2 linked regions of the Drosophila melanogaster genome follow. Changing the gene in region 1 together with any one later gene gives a genetic interaction. Each region holds a gene or a part of one and is shown on either strand. Other genes may lie near its edges.

Region 1 (7,807 bases):
TTCGTCAGTGGGTTCCTGCTTGGACAGAAAGGGACAAACCGGTCCGTCGTAGGCCTCCAGTTGGGTGGCTATTTGCTTTAGTTTCGTGACCTTCAAATCGATGTAGTGCACCAGATCCTTGCGCCGGAATTCGTAGAACTTTAGGTTTCTCGCTAAAACCAATGTAGTGGGGTCATCCCGCGGTCGGCCCACGTGAAGATTGGCGCAGAAGGCCAACCGGGCCGGCTGGAGCAGCATCTCCGGCACATTCTCCTGGACAAACGGCAGCATGGATGCGGAAGCCACAAGATGGATGTGGCGCCCTTGACTCGAAAGCCCTTCGAATCGATAGCTATTGAATTCAAGTAGTAGTTATCGATGCGGTGAACGATATTAGGCTATTTTGAAATGGAAAAACCAATATTAATCGAGTTTCGAATGCTCCTTTTAGCGAGAGGTAAGTCTTTAACACCGCATAAACACAATCAGTGTTGCCTAACCAATCTGTGCCCTCCACTTTCTCTCATAATCAAGCAATTTCTCATAAAAAACGCACATCGATAAGCTGATAACGTTGGCCCTCGACTAACACCGATTATTCAACAAGTTGTGTCAATCGGCGGAGCAGCTGATCGTTGTAAGTAGCAAGAAGAAGACGCCACACAAACATTGCACTCCGCTCCGCCCGCGCGTTCTCATTTCCCATCTCTCTCACTCTGTCTCTCGCGCTCACCGTCTCTCTCTCTCGCTCCGCCTCGCAACCCCCACAGCGCTCCACAAACCGGGCCCCACATTCTTGTGTGTGATTTCTGGTTCAGGTTCTGATTTCCCGCGTGTCCTTGTGTGTGTGCGCGCTGCAGTGTCTGTGTATCTGTTACTGTTGCTGCATCTTCTGCATCAACTGCAACGTTACCAAAAATCAAAAGACAATCGCCTGCAAAAGCTTAATTTTGTTGCTCAGTGTTTTAAGTATTAGCTGTTTGCAAGCAGCACACACACGTAAGAAACAACAAGAACAACGATAAAAGACAACAACACAAATGCAGAGCATTTGAAGCGCAAACACACACAAGCATTCGGTGCGGCTGTAAGAGCGAGACACAAAATAAGGCTAATTTATAAAAGAAAAGTGTGCTGCAAGGAATCGATAAATAACGGGAGTCGAGGAGCGGAATAGGAGTAACCAATAAATATAAATACTGTAAATGCGATATTAAAAAGCGACAACAACAACAAAAAGCAGCTGTGAATCACTCCGTCCCGCTCCCCCGCGCTTTCAGTCACTCCAGTTGCTCCACTTCCATATATATTCGGATTTGGACTCCGATTCGGATACGGATTTCGCTTGGTTCGATTCTGTTTTCTTCGGATCGGTTTAGCTTTGCTTGCCAACTCGAAATCCCACAAACATGGTGAGTACTGGCAGATTATTGCCGCCGTTTTCGAGTTGTTTTGGCCAAAAGCGGCAGTGGCAACCAAACAGCAACACCCACACACCACACACACACGTACAGTGCAAGCTTCTTGGCCAGGTTTTGAGCTCCTCCATCGCCGCAGTTCCAATCCGAACTTCGTGGTAAACAGTTGTCCGCTGAAAACGCAGTGCAGCCTCCGCGTGAAGAACGCTCTGAATATACGGTTTCAAAGTCCTAAGAGGTTGTTTATATGAGTCTAAGTACAGCTACAAGATATATTTAAGCTATGCTTTTCGAAACTATCGTGTAGTTGTTCCAAATACAGTGAAACCTCAATGTTCGGTTTTTGAAGTTAAAAAGAAATATAAACATATATTTGAAGTTTACAAACTGTACAGTATTAATTTGAGCAATAAACCCAACAGTCCAGATTTGAAGTTTTTTTGACATGTTTCAAATTTTTAATATTCTAGCATAGTGTAACGTAAAACATGATTAAATGTTTAGCAACAGCAAAAAAACTACATTTTTGCAAATAGTAAACAAAATTTTAAGCAGTTAACCGAAAAAGTTACAGACCATAGATGTTACGCGATATTTGGATACAGGTTTTAATCCAGATTAGTTGCAATCCAGATTCCTAAAGTCCTATGTCAATCGCCGTAATCTTCGATTGAAAAAGGCCGAGAGTTGCTTTTTTATGTGGTAACATTGGTAAAATCTTTCATGCCATTCCACATATGGTTGTTTGGAAAGGGTTAGGTAACTGGATTCTTGAGCACTTGTCTCACCCCAGTGGGCAATCAAATTCGCCTGTGGGAGCAGCACTGGCGATCCATCTGTGCATGAATCCCCGCCAGAAGCTGCGTTGTGTGTCTACCTAGCGGGAAATGCTTACTAAAGATTTAAATTCGTTTTCGCAGAGCCCGCCCATCGTCACGCGACGGAGTGCGCAGCAGGCAAAGATTCAGACACGGGCAATGGCCAGTAAATCGAAGACGGGCACGACAGGGGCGGCGACGGCGGCCGGCGGCACCGGCAGCAGCAGCGGCAGTATCAGCGGCGGATTTAATGCCGCCGATCCGCGAAAGTCGAACAAACCGAACGCAGCGCTCTTGGAGGCGAAACGTCGAGCTCGGAACAACATGCTCAAGAATCAGGGCTGCGGATCGCAGGAGAGCGTCACGGATATATTCCAGAATGTGAGTGCTATCTGACTGACCTCTATCCTCTGTCCTTGTGCAATCCTAACCAAGTGATATTTAATCGTCGCCGACGAAAAGGCTGTCAACAGCAAGAGTCTGGTGCGGAAACCAACGGCACTGATCTACGATGAGTCCATGAGCCAGCACTGTTGCCTGTGGGACAAGGAGCACTACGAGTGTCCCGAGCGCTTCACACGAGTCCTGGAACGGTGAGTATATTTGAAGAAAACGGTACAAATTAAGCTGATATGTATTCCCTAATCTCCTCATCCAGCTGTCGCGAACTAAATCTGACGGAGCGCTGCCTGGAGTTGCCCTCGAGATCGGCGACCAAGGATGAAATTCTGCGCCTGCACACAGAGGAGCACTTCGAGCGGCTGAAGGAGACGTCCGGGATTCGCGATGACGAGCGCATGGAGGAGCTGAGCTCCCGCTACGATTCAATTTACATTCATCCGGTGAGCAAGCGCATCCAACGGGGAACATGGAACAGTGCATCCCAGTGCCTGGCTCCAAATTAGCTCATTTTATTGTATTTGCACTTGATTGCTTGCGGAGATTGCGTTGTTTTTAATTCGACGGCTTGATAAATGCAAATTGGAGCAGATTAGATTAGATGCGACCCATTGCACAGGTACAGTGCGGTGCATAAATGTAAATGGTTGAGTGACTGGCATAAATTATGCAAATGATTATACCTCCGAACTTAAAATGCATTTATTCCCCGATTGTAATTCTAATATGTCTATTCTTGTTGTGATATTCATTATCTTTATATTGCGTGCAATCTTTATTTAGTTTGCTCAAACTTTAGTTATTAATTATTACGACTGCCCGCAGCTTTTATTACTTTATATTTCATTAGCTAAATCCTCCAGCAATCTGAAGCGCACTGTAAATTCGTTAAAATGGGCTGGTACTCATACTATTACATCCTAGATAAGATTCCCGCTGTTTTACTAGCACCGAACTTGTTATATATAGAACACTGATAACCTTATCCGCCTCCCACCCGCAGTCCACATTCGAGCTCTCCCTGCTGGCCAGCGGCTCCACCATCGAATTGGTGGACCATCTGGTCGCCGGAAAGGCGCAGAATGGCATGGCCATCATCCGGCCACCGGGTCACCATGCGATGAAGGCCGAGTACAACGGTTATTGCTTCTTCAACAACGTGGCACTGGCCACCCAGCACGCCCTCGATGTTCACAAGCTGCAGCGCATCCTGATCATCGACTACGATGTGCATCATGGGCAGGGAACCCAGCGGTTCTTCTACAACGATCCCAGGTAAAGTTGGCAATATATGTTTAGTATTCTCATTCATCGTGTGTGTGTTTCAGGGTGGTTTACTTCTCCATCCATCGCTTCGAGCACGGAAGCTTCTGGCCGCATCTGCACGAGTCGGATTACCACGCCATTGGATCGGGAGCGGGCACGGGATACAACTTCAATGTGCCGTTGAATGCGACGGGTATGACCAATGGCGATTACCTGGCCATTTTCCAGCAGCTGCTGCTGCCGGTGGCCCTGGAATTCCAGCCGGAGCTGATCATCGTTTCGGCTGGCTATGATGCGGCGCTGGGCTGTCCGGAGGGTGAGATGGAGGTGACGCCGGCCTGCTATCCGCACCTGCTGAATCCGCTGCTGCGACTGGCCGATGCCCGGGTGGCCGTCGTTCTGGAGGGCGGCTACTGCCTGGACTCGCTGGCCGAGGGTGCGGCCCTAACCCTGCGCTCCCTGCTCGGCGATCCTTGTCCGCCGCTGGTGGAGACAGTGCCACTGCCGCGTGCGGAACTCGCCCAGGCCCTGCTCAGCTGCATTGCCGTGCACCGACCCCACTGGCGATGTCTGCAGCTCCAGCAGACCTACGATTGCGTCGAATTGCAGGATCGGGATAAGGAAGAGGATCTGCACACGGTACTGCGCCATTGGATTGGTGGACCACCGCCTATGGATCGTTACCCTACGCGCGATACGGCCATTCCGCTGCCGCCGGAAAAGCTGACCAGCAATGCCGCTCGTCTGCAGGTGCTGCGCGCGGAGACGAAGCTATCGGTGCCGTCGTTTAAGGTGTGTTATGCCTACGATGCCCAAATGCTTCTGCACTGCAATCTCAATGATACGGGGCATCCGGAGCAGCCGTCGCGCATCCAGCACATCCACAAGATGCACGACGACTACGGTCTGCTGAAGCAGATGAAGCAACTGTCCCCCAGGGCGGCCACCACAGACGAGGTGTGCCTGGCCCACACTCGCGCCCATGTGAATACAGTGCGTCGATTGCTGGGCCGCGAGCCGAAGGAACTGCATGACGCTGCTGGGATCTACAACTCGGTGTATCTGCATCCGCGCACCTTCGATTGCGCCACCCTGGCCGCCGGTTTAGTGCTGCAGGCGGTGGACAGTGTGCTGCGTGGCGAGTCCCGCAGCGGCATCTGCAACGTCCGTCCGCCGGGCCATCATGCCGAGCAGGATCATCCGCACGGCTTCTGCATTTTCAACAATGTGGCCATTGCGGCGCAGTATGCCATTCGGGATTTCGGTCTGGAGCGTGTGCTGATCGTCGACTGGGACGTCCATCACGGCAATGGGACGCAGCACATTTTCGAGTCCAATCCCAAGGTGCTCTACATCAGCTTACATCGCTACGAGCACGGCTCCTTCTTCCCGAAGGGACCCGATGGCAATTTCGATGTGGTGGGCAAGGGAGCCGGCAGGGGCTTCAATGTGAACATACCCTGGAACAAGGTGGGTTTTTGCACACTTACGGGCCCAACTCATTCCACTCACTTTGCAGAAGGGCATGGGTGACCTGGAGTACGCACTGGCCTTCCAGCAGCTGATCATGCCCATTGCGTACGAGTTCAATCCGCAGCTGGTGTTGGTATCCGCCGGATTCGATGCTGCCATCGGCGATCCCTTGGGCGGATGCAAGGTGACGGCCGAGGGCTACGGCATGCTCACCCACTGGCTGTCGGCTTTGGCCAGCGGCCGGATAATCGTTTGCCTGGAAGGTGGCTACAATGTGAACTCCATTTCGTACGCGATGACCATGTGCACCAAGACGCTGCTGGGTGATCCCGTGCCGACGCCCCAGCTGGGAGCCACGGCGCTGCAGAAGCCACCAACGGTGGCCTTCCAGAGCTGTGTGGAATCGCTGCAGCAGTGCCTGCAGGTGCAGCGCAACCACTGGCGCTCGCTGGAGTTCGTCGGACGGCGGCTGCCGCGGGATCCCGTTGTGGGCGAGAACAACAACGAGGATTTTCTTACCGCCTCCTTGCGACACTTGAATATCTCAAATGACGATGCTACGGCTGCGGCGGGCGGACTCGCCGGCGATCGTCCCGACTGCGGCGATGAGCGGCCCAGCGGGAGCAAGCCCAAAGTCAAGGTAAAAACGCTCAGCGACTACTTGGCGGAGAACAAGGAGGTACGAGGACAGCACTGCGCTTATCCCTCAGCTGGCAACTAATCGCTTCTTTTCGTGCCTTTCTTCATCTCGATCCCATGCCCTGCAATCTCTGCCCCTCGATCCCGTTCCCGATCCCCATTCGCGTGTCAGGCCCTCGAGCAGAGTGAGATGTTCGCCGTGTATCCGCTCAAGACGTGTCCGCACTTGAGGCTCCTACGTCCGGAGGAGGCGCCCCGATGTAAGCCAATGCAGTCCGGAGAAGATTCCCTCCCCTTTTGGTCAAGATAATAGCACTTCTTAAGTGTGAACAAGTTGTCAAGAAAAATTCAGTTATTGAATCTCTTTGTATCTTTGTATTTGTATGCTGTGACCCATAAAAATAATTGGAAAAATGGTTTTATGACTCAAGTTAAGTCTTCAATAACGTATTTAACATTTTATATAAATGGGGAAGTTGTTTGAAATGCATATAGTGAAATACCCTATAAATCTGAAAAAATCGGGAAATACTTTACAGGAAGTGCTATTATTTTGACCAATTTTAAGGACTCTTCTTTCTTATAATGTTCATCGTTTTCTTTGCTTTTTGTGCTTAAAATTAGCAATTGGCTATTTTTCTAAATTACTTATAACTGCTTAATGGTTTATGTGCATATGGCATGCAATCTTTTTGTGCTTGGCGGCTGTTTTTTCTTTCAGTATCCTTGCGTTTATTGCATTTTTTGAAAAGGTTTTTTGCTTCAATCCTTACGTTTTAGCAATGTAACTTTGGGTTTTAACCAAAAATCTGCCGTGTGATTTGCTTTTATCTAACTTTATCTTAGTTTAAAACTTTAGAACATTTGATATATCGCCTGCATGTGAACAGCTTCTTGAGCTATACGCTACTCAATCCTGACACAACTAACATACTTTCTCAACGATTTCCCATCCAAATCAGCACTAGACAGCGGAGCGGAGTGCAGCGTTTGCGGATCGACGGGGGAGAACTGGGTGTGCCTGAGCTGCAGGCATGTGGCCTGCGGTCGCTATGTGAACGCCCACATGGAGCAGCATTCAGTGGAGGAGCAGCATCCGCTGGCGATGAGCACGGCTGACCTGTCTGTGTGGTGCTACGCGTGCTCCGCGTACGTGGACCATCCCCGCCTGTATGCCTACCTCAATCCGCTGCACGAGGACAAGTTCCAGGAACCGATGGCCTGGACACATGGGTGTGCGTGGCGCGAGGATGGCTGCTATGCGACGGGGCCCGATGGGCGAGATGAGGATGACGATGATGATAATGGCGCCGGTAGCAGCATTTGCCTGCGACTGGAGCGCAACAACTGACCCTTAGCCATCCGCGTGCTGGACGCCCTCACGGACTACTTGTGCGCGCTCTGCCCGCCACTAAGGCACCTAATCCATTTCCTGGCCGAGCACCTCTGGCCGCTGCTGGAGCGCATTTACCTTAACCTGTTGCACTACTTCCTGGCCCACTGAGCACCCCATATCCAATCCTCTAGCCCGCACCCACAACTGATCTGAAAACTGCTGCAACTGGCAGCCGGTCGGTCATCCCCTGGAGATCCTGGCACCAGTCACCATACCATTTATACAAATGCAAATTGTTAAAGTTATCAACTAATGATCTAATAAATAATTCAAGTGTTTTTTGAGTTTATTTTCGAATACAGTTTCTAGTTTCGTTAATGAGATCGAACTTCTTAAGTTCAGAGGTATTTATTCATAATTCTGTTCATCCCAGCCAAATCGACAGTTCATCCACGGTTTTATTTAATCTATATTTCTAG
Region 2 (7,203 bases), on another chromosome or scaffold:
AATACTTCTCTGCCAGCCTACGGAAACGTGCCCTCCAGCGGATTCTATCCCGCGTCTGGGGGCTCCGCCCCTTACCCAATCATGGGTCCCCTGATGCCCATGCCACCGCCATCCAGACCGTACTGAGGTCTTGGTCCTTGGTCCTTGGTCCTCAGCGAATTAACTGCCATGGCGCATCAGTCTGCAGCAGGCAAGTTTGTACATTTGGTAAGCGGTGAACGAAGGGTGCTTTCATCAGATAAACGTTCTTGGATTTCATAATAAAGTGCTTTTCCCTGACTCTTGATTTCTAGAAAAGATTAATTACCGCTGTGTCATACAAATGCAACATCCGCTTAGTATCTAGATATAAATTCTCTTTGGGGATCACAGCATTTTCGTAACAGTGATTTAATTGTAATAATAATCAAATCATAACATCATCAGCATCATTTGCAAGACCTTTATCCTTATTTATCCTTGCAGAAAGCACCCAAAAAAGTCACAACTCTTAATGCCGTAAAGTTAAAAACTTCTTTATTGTTTAAAATTTCAGAATCCTCTCTTTAAGTACATATTGCTTCAGTTTCATCTTCTGATTACAGTGGGTTAATTGCAAATCAGAGGGAACTTTCTGGTACACACATCTCTGCCTGCACTAAACTATGATATATATGTATATGTGAAAGTATAAATTAAGCGAAAATTAACATTAATATTAGACAGTGGACATTTCTTGTTAAAATAAAAACTTTCGATAAAAAATGATACGGATTGGAGTGTGCATATTGTGGGAGTATGAGGCCAAGGCTAGGCGGCGATTAAAGCGATTCCTTATTGCATATAGTGTGATTGTGGGTTAACGATTTGTTGGAAGGTTTGTGCTCATGGAGTGTGTGGGTGGTTTTCGCTATGTATACATAAACGTATTGCCTATCTCTCGACTTCATTGCAATTCAATTTCAATTTCAGTTTTCCATTTGTGTTTCCTCTTTGAGAGCGGTTAGTCTTTTCTAATTCCAACGGCCTCCGGTTCAATGTATATATGTAAATATATAGATTGTATCGTATTTGCAAAATGTTATATATAAAATATGTTCAACTCTTCCGTTCGGCTCGGATCGGTTCGGTTCTCACTTTAAAAGCTTAATGACTTAAGCGCGTGTTTAAGGCTATTCAAAAATATACTCCTACAATCGCTAGCCATTCGCGTCTGCAGCGCCATCATGACGATCCGAACTCCCTCATCCACTTCTCGTACTTGTCCAGGTCTGCCCGGGACACGCTCTTGTTGCAGCGACTCATGGCCTCGTTGAAATCCTTGTTGGAAACGGGCAAATCCACCTCTTCCGTAGCCAACTGCCGAATCTGCTCTGGGGTCAGTCCTGCGATCTTTCTCCGCATCGACATCATGCTGGCCTCCCTGGAAAAAGAAGAGCACGCATTTTATTCCATTGACATGATTTGGAACTGACTACGCCATTTTAAATTAGTGTATTCTGAACTCACCTGCACACGTTTGTGATGTCAGCTCCGGAATATCCCTTCAGCTCGTTGGCTACGTAGGTAAGATCGACGCTATCGTCCACCTTGACCTCGCGGAGATTGATCTTGAGCAGCGCCTCGCGACCTTCATCCGATGGCAGTGGGATGTAAATGCGTTTTTCCAAACGACGCCGAAGCGCTTCATCGATGTCCCAAGGAAAGTTGGTGGCGGCCAGCACCATGACCACCTTGGCCTGTTCCTCTCCGCCGCCCACGCCGTCCATTTGGACCAGCAGCTCAGACTTCACTCGTCGCGAGGCCTCGTGCTCTGATTCCGATCCTCGGCGCGAGCACAGGGAGTCGATCTCGTCGATGAAAATTGTGCTGGGCGCGTAGAACCTGGCCATCTCGAACAGGAGCCGCACCATCTTTTCCGACTCACCTCGGTACTTGGACGTCAGCGTGGCCGAGCTCACGTTGAAGAACGTAGTTCCGCATTCGGTTGCCACCGCCTTGGCGAGCATTGTCTTGCCCGTGCCTGGAGGTCCCACCATTAACACGCCCTTCCACGGTCGCCGGATACCCTGTTGTAGAAAGCAAGAAGTGATTATGTACTTTTGCTTTAAAATGTTTACAAACTTTCAGTATATATTAATTGTATACTTTCCGATTGTTTTGATCTGAACCACTGTTTTAGGCTGTGTCATTTGCCTAATTCTAATTAATTAAATAATCTACATTGGAGAAGTGAGTACCATTTCTTCCAATCAAACATAAATATCTAATTATCTACTATCCACGTTAAGTCTATCTTTCTTGCTATTGTTTATTCAGTAAGATGGTAAATCGAAAAATGGTGCTGTAGGCTTCTCTGATGCCCATTTCAAACATCTTTCGCCCACGCAAAATTTCATGGTATCCACATTTTAGATGGGGAAAATATTTGTTGGACGGAAATATTTGAAAACAACAAATATTCTTACATATATGGTACAACACGGTCAACATAGCAATCGAGCTCAGTCTCAGGTGTTTGGATCAGTGATTTTTAATGTGACTTAAAGGCGTTAGAAACACATGGTCAGCATTCCATATATATACATAATATATACATAATTATTTATTTTTTTTCGACAGGTTATTATGGATCGATATTCTTTTGAACGCACACATAGTTTGATAAGATAACATAGATAGAGGTACATCATAATCAGCATAATTTCAACAATGGAAACTTTTAAACCGCCCCAAGTAAAAGTAGAATGTGTTGACAAGTTCCACCACCTAGTTAAGAGGGATAAAGCTGCAAGGCGATGCATTTCGTGACAGTTCAGAATAGTTGATCAAATACACATTGCCCTGAGCACTATAATAAAGCGCGTTTGTTGACCCATCGCGAGATAAGCGTTTGGCAGAATGTGATTCACAGAAAACAAACAGCGGGGGTGACGCACCTTGAAGTAGTCCGGCATGAGCATTGGCAGCACGACGGCCTCCTCCAGCAACCGCTTGGCGTCGTGCAGGTCGGCAATGTCGCTCCAGCGCACTTTGGGATCCTTTTGAAGAATATCACGTTCTGAAAAGAGAGCGTTGGCATGTAATAAATGTAGCTATACTAGACCCAAATTTTCATAACTACTACCATTTTTGAAATAGCCACAAATCTTAAAGCAAGTAGAGTAATGCATTAGCTTTGCTTAATAAATAAGACTAGCACATCACCAAATTTTGAACGAGGCAAACCTTGCGGCAACGATTTAGGCACCTACCAAGAATGTCGACTAGCTCGGCTTCGATGTGGTTGTTGGGCTGAAACTTGCGCTCTTCCTCTTGGGCGGCCTGCGGATCGCCGTTTTCTCCATCGCCAGCCGCTCCGCCATTGTTGCCTGCAGCGGTGGAGTCGTCGTCCCTAGCCTCGTTGGTGTTCGATGTGGATAGCTTGCGACCGCCAGCCCTTCCATTGGTGGTGCGTGCTCCGCCGCTCGGTGCTGTGGCGGACGTTGAGTTGCGGGAATTGCGTGTCGAGGCCGGACCATTCCGGGCAGTGCTCTGCGGGATTGTGCTGCTGGGGCGGCTGTTTTGCGTTGCCGGAGTGGTGCGGCGGTTGTTCGGTGCGGCTCTTCGGCCAACGGCCTGAGTGGTGGGTGGTGGCTTCGGCGGACCCCACACATCTGGATCCTTGGGCGGAGGCGTCCAAATGTCGGGGTCCGGCTTGAACCAGGCAGATGGATCTTTACTGGTGGTGCTTTCTTCGCTGAGCTGGTGTCGCAGCTTGTGTGCAAATTTGGTTGACTGTAGGTCCAGCGAGATGTCTTGTAGGGTTCTCTGAATGGCCTTGATTTTGGCGTGCTCCTGGCTAATCTGCTGGTTGATCTGCAAATCGAAGATCAGTTAGTTAAATGATGTCAATGAAATCGTCCGGTATGGTAAATATTAAACTTTTTGAAAATACTTGGTTTATTATGATCTATTGGAGTTTTAGCCAGTTACTTTGTGCCAGTAGTGCTAGAAATTACTTTGTAATTCAAATTTTAGTCATTCGGTAGTGTTCTGATTAAATTAAATCTTTATATGCACGTTAACGATCTAGATAACTCGTTTACACAAAACCTCTTGGGCAATTTTGAATGGCGTTGACAAGATGTTATGACTAAGTCCTTTGTTTGTCATAACCGTCACCATTCGCATTCATTGGCATGGTAGTTGACAGTATCTGGAGGTGGTGATAGGAATGTCTTACCATGCTCCACTTGCCCTTGCGTAGCGGATCCGCGGTGGCCTTCAGCTGGCGGGCGAGCAGCCCCTGGAGGCCCTCATAGTAGATGCAGGCTGAGTCGTAGTTGCCCGTCAGAGCCATGTCCCGTGCTAATTTGGCATTCTCGCATATTTCTTCAAACGTAGTCTTGGCCATTACGGTCATTCCTACGCAAGTGGTTGTCTTTTGCTTGCCACCTCGCAGTAACTGGCGATCGGAACAGGTTGTCGTCATTGTAGCCAAAAACGAGAGACAGAGATTAGTTCCAATTAAAGCGCTCGAGTGCGTGAGTTTCTCCAAGTGTTGCTGGGTGGGAAGGGGAACAATAGAACGGAAGCGACTTCGTCATTCGCTGGCTCGCCTTGCAGGTAAAAATGGAAAGTGCGCCTCCCAGCCAGAAGCGAATAAAGTGGAAAACCCGGCGACAATTGCGAATAATAGAAGATGCCAGTGGCAACGACCCAAGTGAGCTGCTAATTATAAATTATCAGGCGCACAGCCGCCGACTTGTCACCAAATTTAAACGCAACGCGCTCCGATTTTCAATTCCGCCTCCAAGGCGGGACGTGGGCCAAATGCCGATTGGAAAATGTATTAGGTAGTTATGAGCCGAATAAGGCGTTCGACCTTGTTGGCTTTGAATGATTCTTTCAACTCGACTCAAATCGTCGTATGCAAAAAAAAAAAAAAAAACAAAAAACACAATAGTAAAAACAACAAAATTAACGCTCGCACACACACACGCACACTCAGCTCAGGTTTCAGCGGCACACAACACACACTTTCGCACACACGCACACGGGCGCACAATGGGTCGAATTAATGCGATCTAAATAGAATTTGAGTTAATTGCAAGCCTCTGGACACAGCAAACTGCACTTTGCATTCGACACTTCACCGTATTTCTTATTCTTATGCTTCTTATTTTATTTCCAGCTATGTGGGGGCGTCTGCAGCTGCAGCAACCACAAGAGCAACAACAACAGCAGCGCTGACGTCTCGCCGCCGCACACCTACAATTGCAGCTGAGCAGTTCGCGGGCGACTTACGGTTATGGACATTAGTGTACTAGCTTTGTTACGCGGCGTTCCGAGCGCAAAATGAATGCGTAAACTATTTAATTCAGAGTTTAAGGTGCTGCGGTAGCTAAAATAAACTGCTGCCTGCCTGTGTTTGTAATACTAGTGATGTGCGTGCTCTGGTGATGCGGGGCTTATCGATACATCGGCGCGGACACTTGACCACCCTGTTGCGTTCCCTGTGTGCAACAGTCGGCGACTATCGATTGTTTCCAGAGCTGCTAAAAATATATTTCTAAATTTACAACGAATTACAAGAAAATAAAAAGAAAATCTCCGTATCGTGTCTATCGATTATAAATCAATATACAATATGTAAGTATATTTTCCAGTTCTAGAATTTGTCTCCGAGCCACACATTACCATCCCTGAGCGCCACTGCAATAAAAGCTATATTAATCGCTAAAACATTTGCACTACTGTAACACCAGTCTGGCATCGCTGTGATATAGATAAGGCCAGTACGACAAGTCATCGGTTATCGGTTCTTAACATTTCGGCTTAACGTGCTTAAACTCATTTAAATTTAGACACCACTCAAGCGACGGTGCCGCAATGACAACGCCCACGCGCGCCACCCTGGAAAAGGCTCTGAAAAGCGACCAGAAGCTTGTGAATTCCGCCACACAGATAGCCAAGGGCAGGTTTACACCCGCATCCGTGTCGAATGTGCCCTTCTCATAGAGATTCTTTGTTTCCTCCAGATCTGACCGCCAAGGCATATGACATATCTGCTCTGGCCGAGGCACTGGGCTTCGCCCTGTCCTCTCCGGACATGGAGGAGCGTGTGGCCGGAACCAACTTGCTCTCCGCCGTGTTGATAGCACTGCCCCAGGATCTGCTGCAAGAGCGGCAGCTGGAGTTCCTCAGCACCTTTTACATGGACCGCCTGCGCGACCATCACAACGTAATGCCAGCCATTATCGATGGAATCGACGCCCTGGTTCACATGAAAGCTCTACCGCGCGCCCAGATTCCCCAGATTCTGCAGTCATTCTTCGAGCACACCACCTGCCAGTCGCAGACGCGGAGCGACCGCACCAAGCTGTTCCACATTTTCCAGTACTTGACGGAAAACTTCCAGGACGGTGAGCCCTGATTTCATTTTAGCATGAAAGATACATTGACATTGCTTTAATCCGATTTAAACAAGTCAGTGTGCAAAAAAGTTATAATTAGATGATTTTAACTAGTCGAACAGATATTTGCGACAATCTTAGTACCTTTTATTTCCGTTATTTTTAGAAAATATTACACAATATTACAACTCAAACAAATCAATTTTCTTCCCGATACAGAGCTGCAAGCGATGGCCGGTGACTTCGTCTACGGCCTGATCAATTCCATTGACGGCGAGCGTGACCCCCGCAACCTTGACATCATTTTCAGCTTCATGCCCGAGTTCTTGTCAACGTATCCGCTGCTGCATTTGGCCGAAGAGATGTTTGAGATCTTTGCGTGTTACTTTCCAATCGACTTTAATCCCAGCAAGCAGGATCCAGCGGCCATAACCCGTGATGAATTGTCCAAGAAGTTGACTAACTGCCTGGTAGCCAACAACGAATTCGCTGAGGGCACAGTGGTACTGGCCATAGAAAAGCTGGAGAGTGAGTTGCTGGTTGCCAAACTGGACTCCATAGAACTGCTGGCAAGAAAACGTAACATTTTGAAATGCCTCTTTTTATACATGCTATTTATTGTTACAGCACCAAGCTGCCGTGAAGTTCCCGCCTTCCGTTCTGGAGCCGCACTTCGATCAGATATGGCAGGCTCTGAAAACAGAGACTTTTCCAGGAAATGACAATGAGGAGATACTGAAAGCTTCCCTTAAGGCGTTGTCTGCGCTCCTGGAGAGAGCTGCTCACATACCGGATATAAGCCACAGCTACCAGAGCTCTATTCTGG

Evidence for each region. Genes that interact genetically often act in the same process or in processes that back each other up.
Region 2: of HDAC6 (region 1) and Kat60, changing one suppresses a phenotype caused by changing the other (phenotypic suppression), as found in Drosophila melanogaster (one study listed by BioGRID).

The regions. Positions count from the first base shown.
Region 1 is NC_004354.4:15,332,673-15,340,479, forward strand, and holds HDAC6 (histone deacetylase 6), read left to right. Parts: upstream 1-1,805; 5' UTR 1,806-1,978; coding exon of another isoform or gene 1,979-2,002; 5' UTR 2,003-2,284; coding exon 2,285-2,596; exon of another isoform or gene 2,597-2,677; coding exon 2,678-2,808; exon of another isoform or gene 2,809-2,873; coding exon 2,874-3,057; exon of another isoform or gene 3,058-3,299; intron 3,300-3,617; coding exon 3,618-3,889; intron 3,890-3,942; coding exon 3,943-5,350; intron 5,351-5,399; coding exon 5,400-6,032; intron 6,033-6,164; coding exon 6,165-6,252; coding exon of another isoform or gene 6,253-6,302; exon of another isoform or gene 6,303-6,420; intron 6,421-6,954; coding exon 6,955-7,343; coding exon of another isoform or gene 7,344-7,496; 3' UTR 7,497-7,688; downstream 7,689-7,807. Other genes in the region: CG9114 (uncharacterized protein), read right to left, coding at 1-270.
Region 2 is NT_033777.3:5,226,789-5,233,991, forward strand, and holds Kat60 (katanin 60), read right to left. Parts: upstream 5,422-7,203; 5' UTR 5,281-5,421; coding exon 5,269-5,280; intron 4,526-5,268; coding exon 4,205-4,525; intron 3,838-4,204; coding exon 3,234-3,837; intron 3,041-3,233; coding exon 2,919-3,040; intron 2,049-2,918; coding exon 1,489-2,048; intron 1,403-1,488; coding exon 1,204-1,402; 3' UTR 501-1,203; downstream 1-500. Other genes in the region: Vps37B (vacuolar protein sorting 37B), read left to right, coding at 1-126; Mms19, read left to right, coding at 5,854-5,938, 6,003-6,386, 6,597-6,946, 7,005-7,203.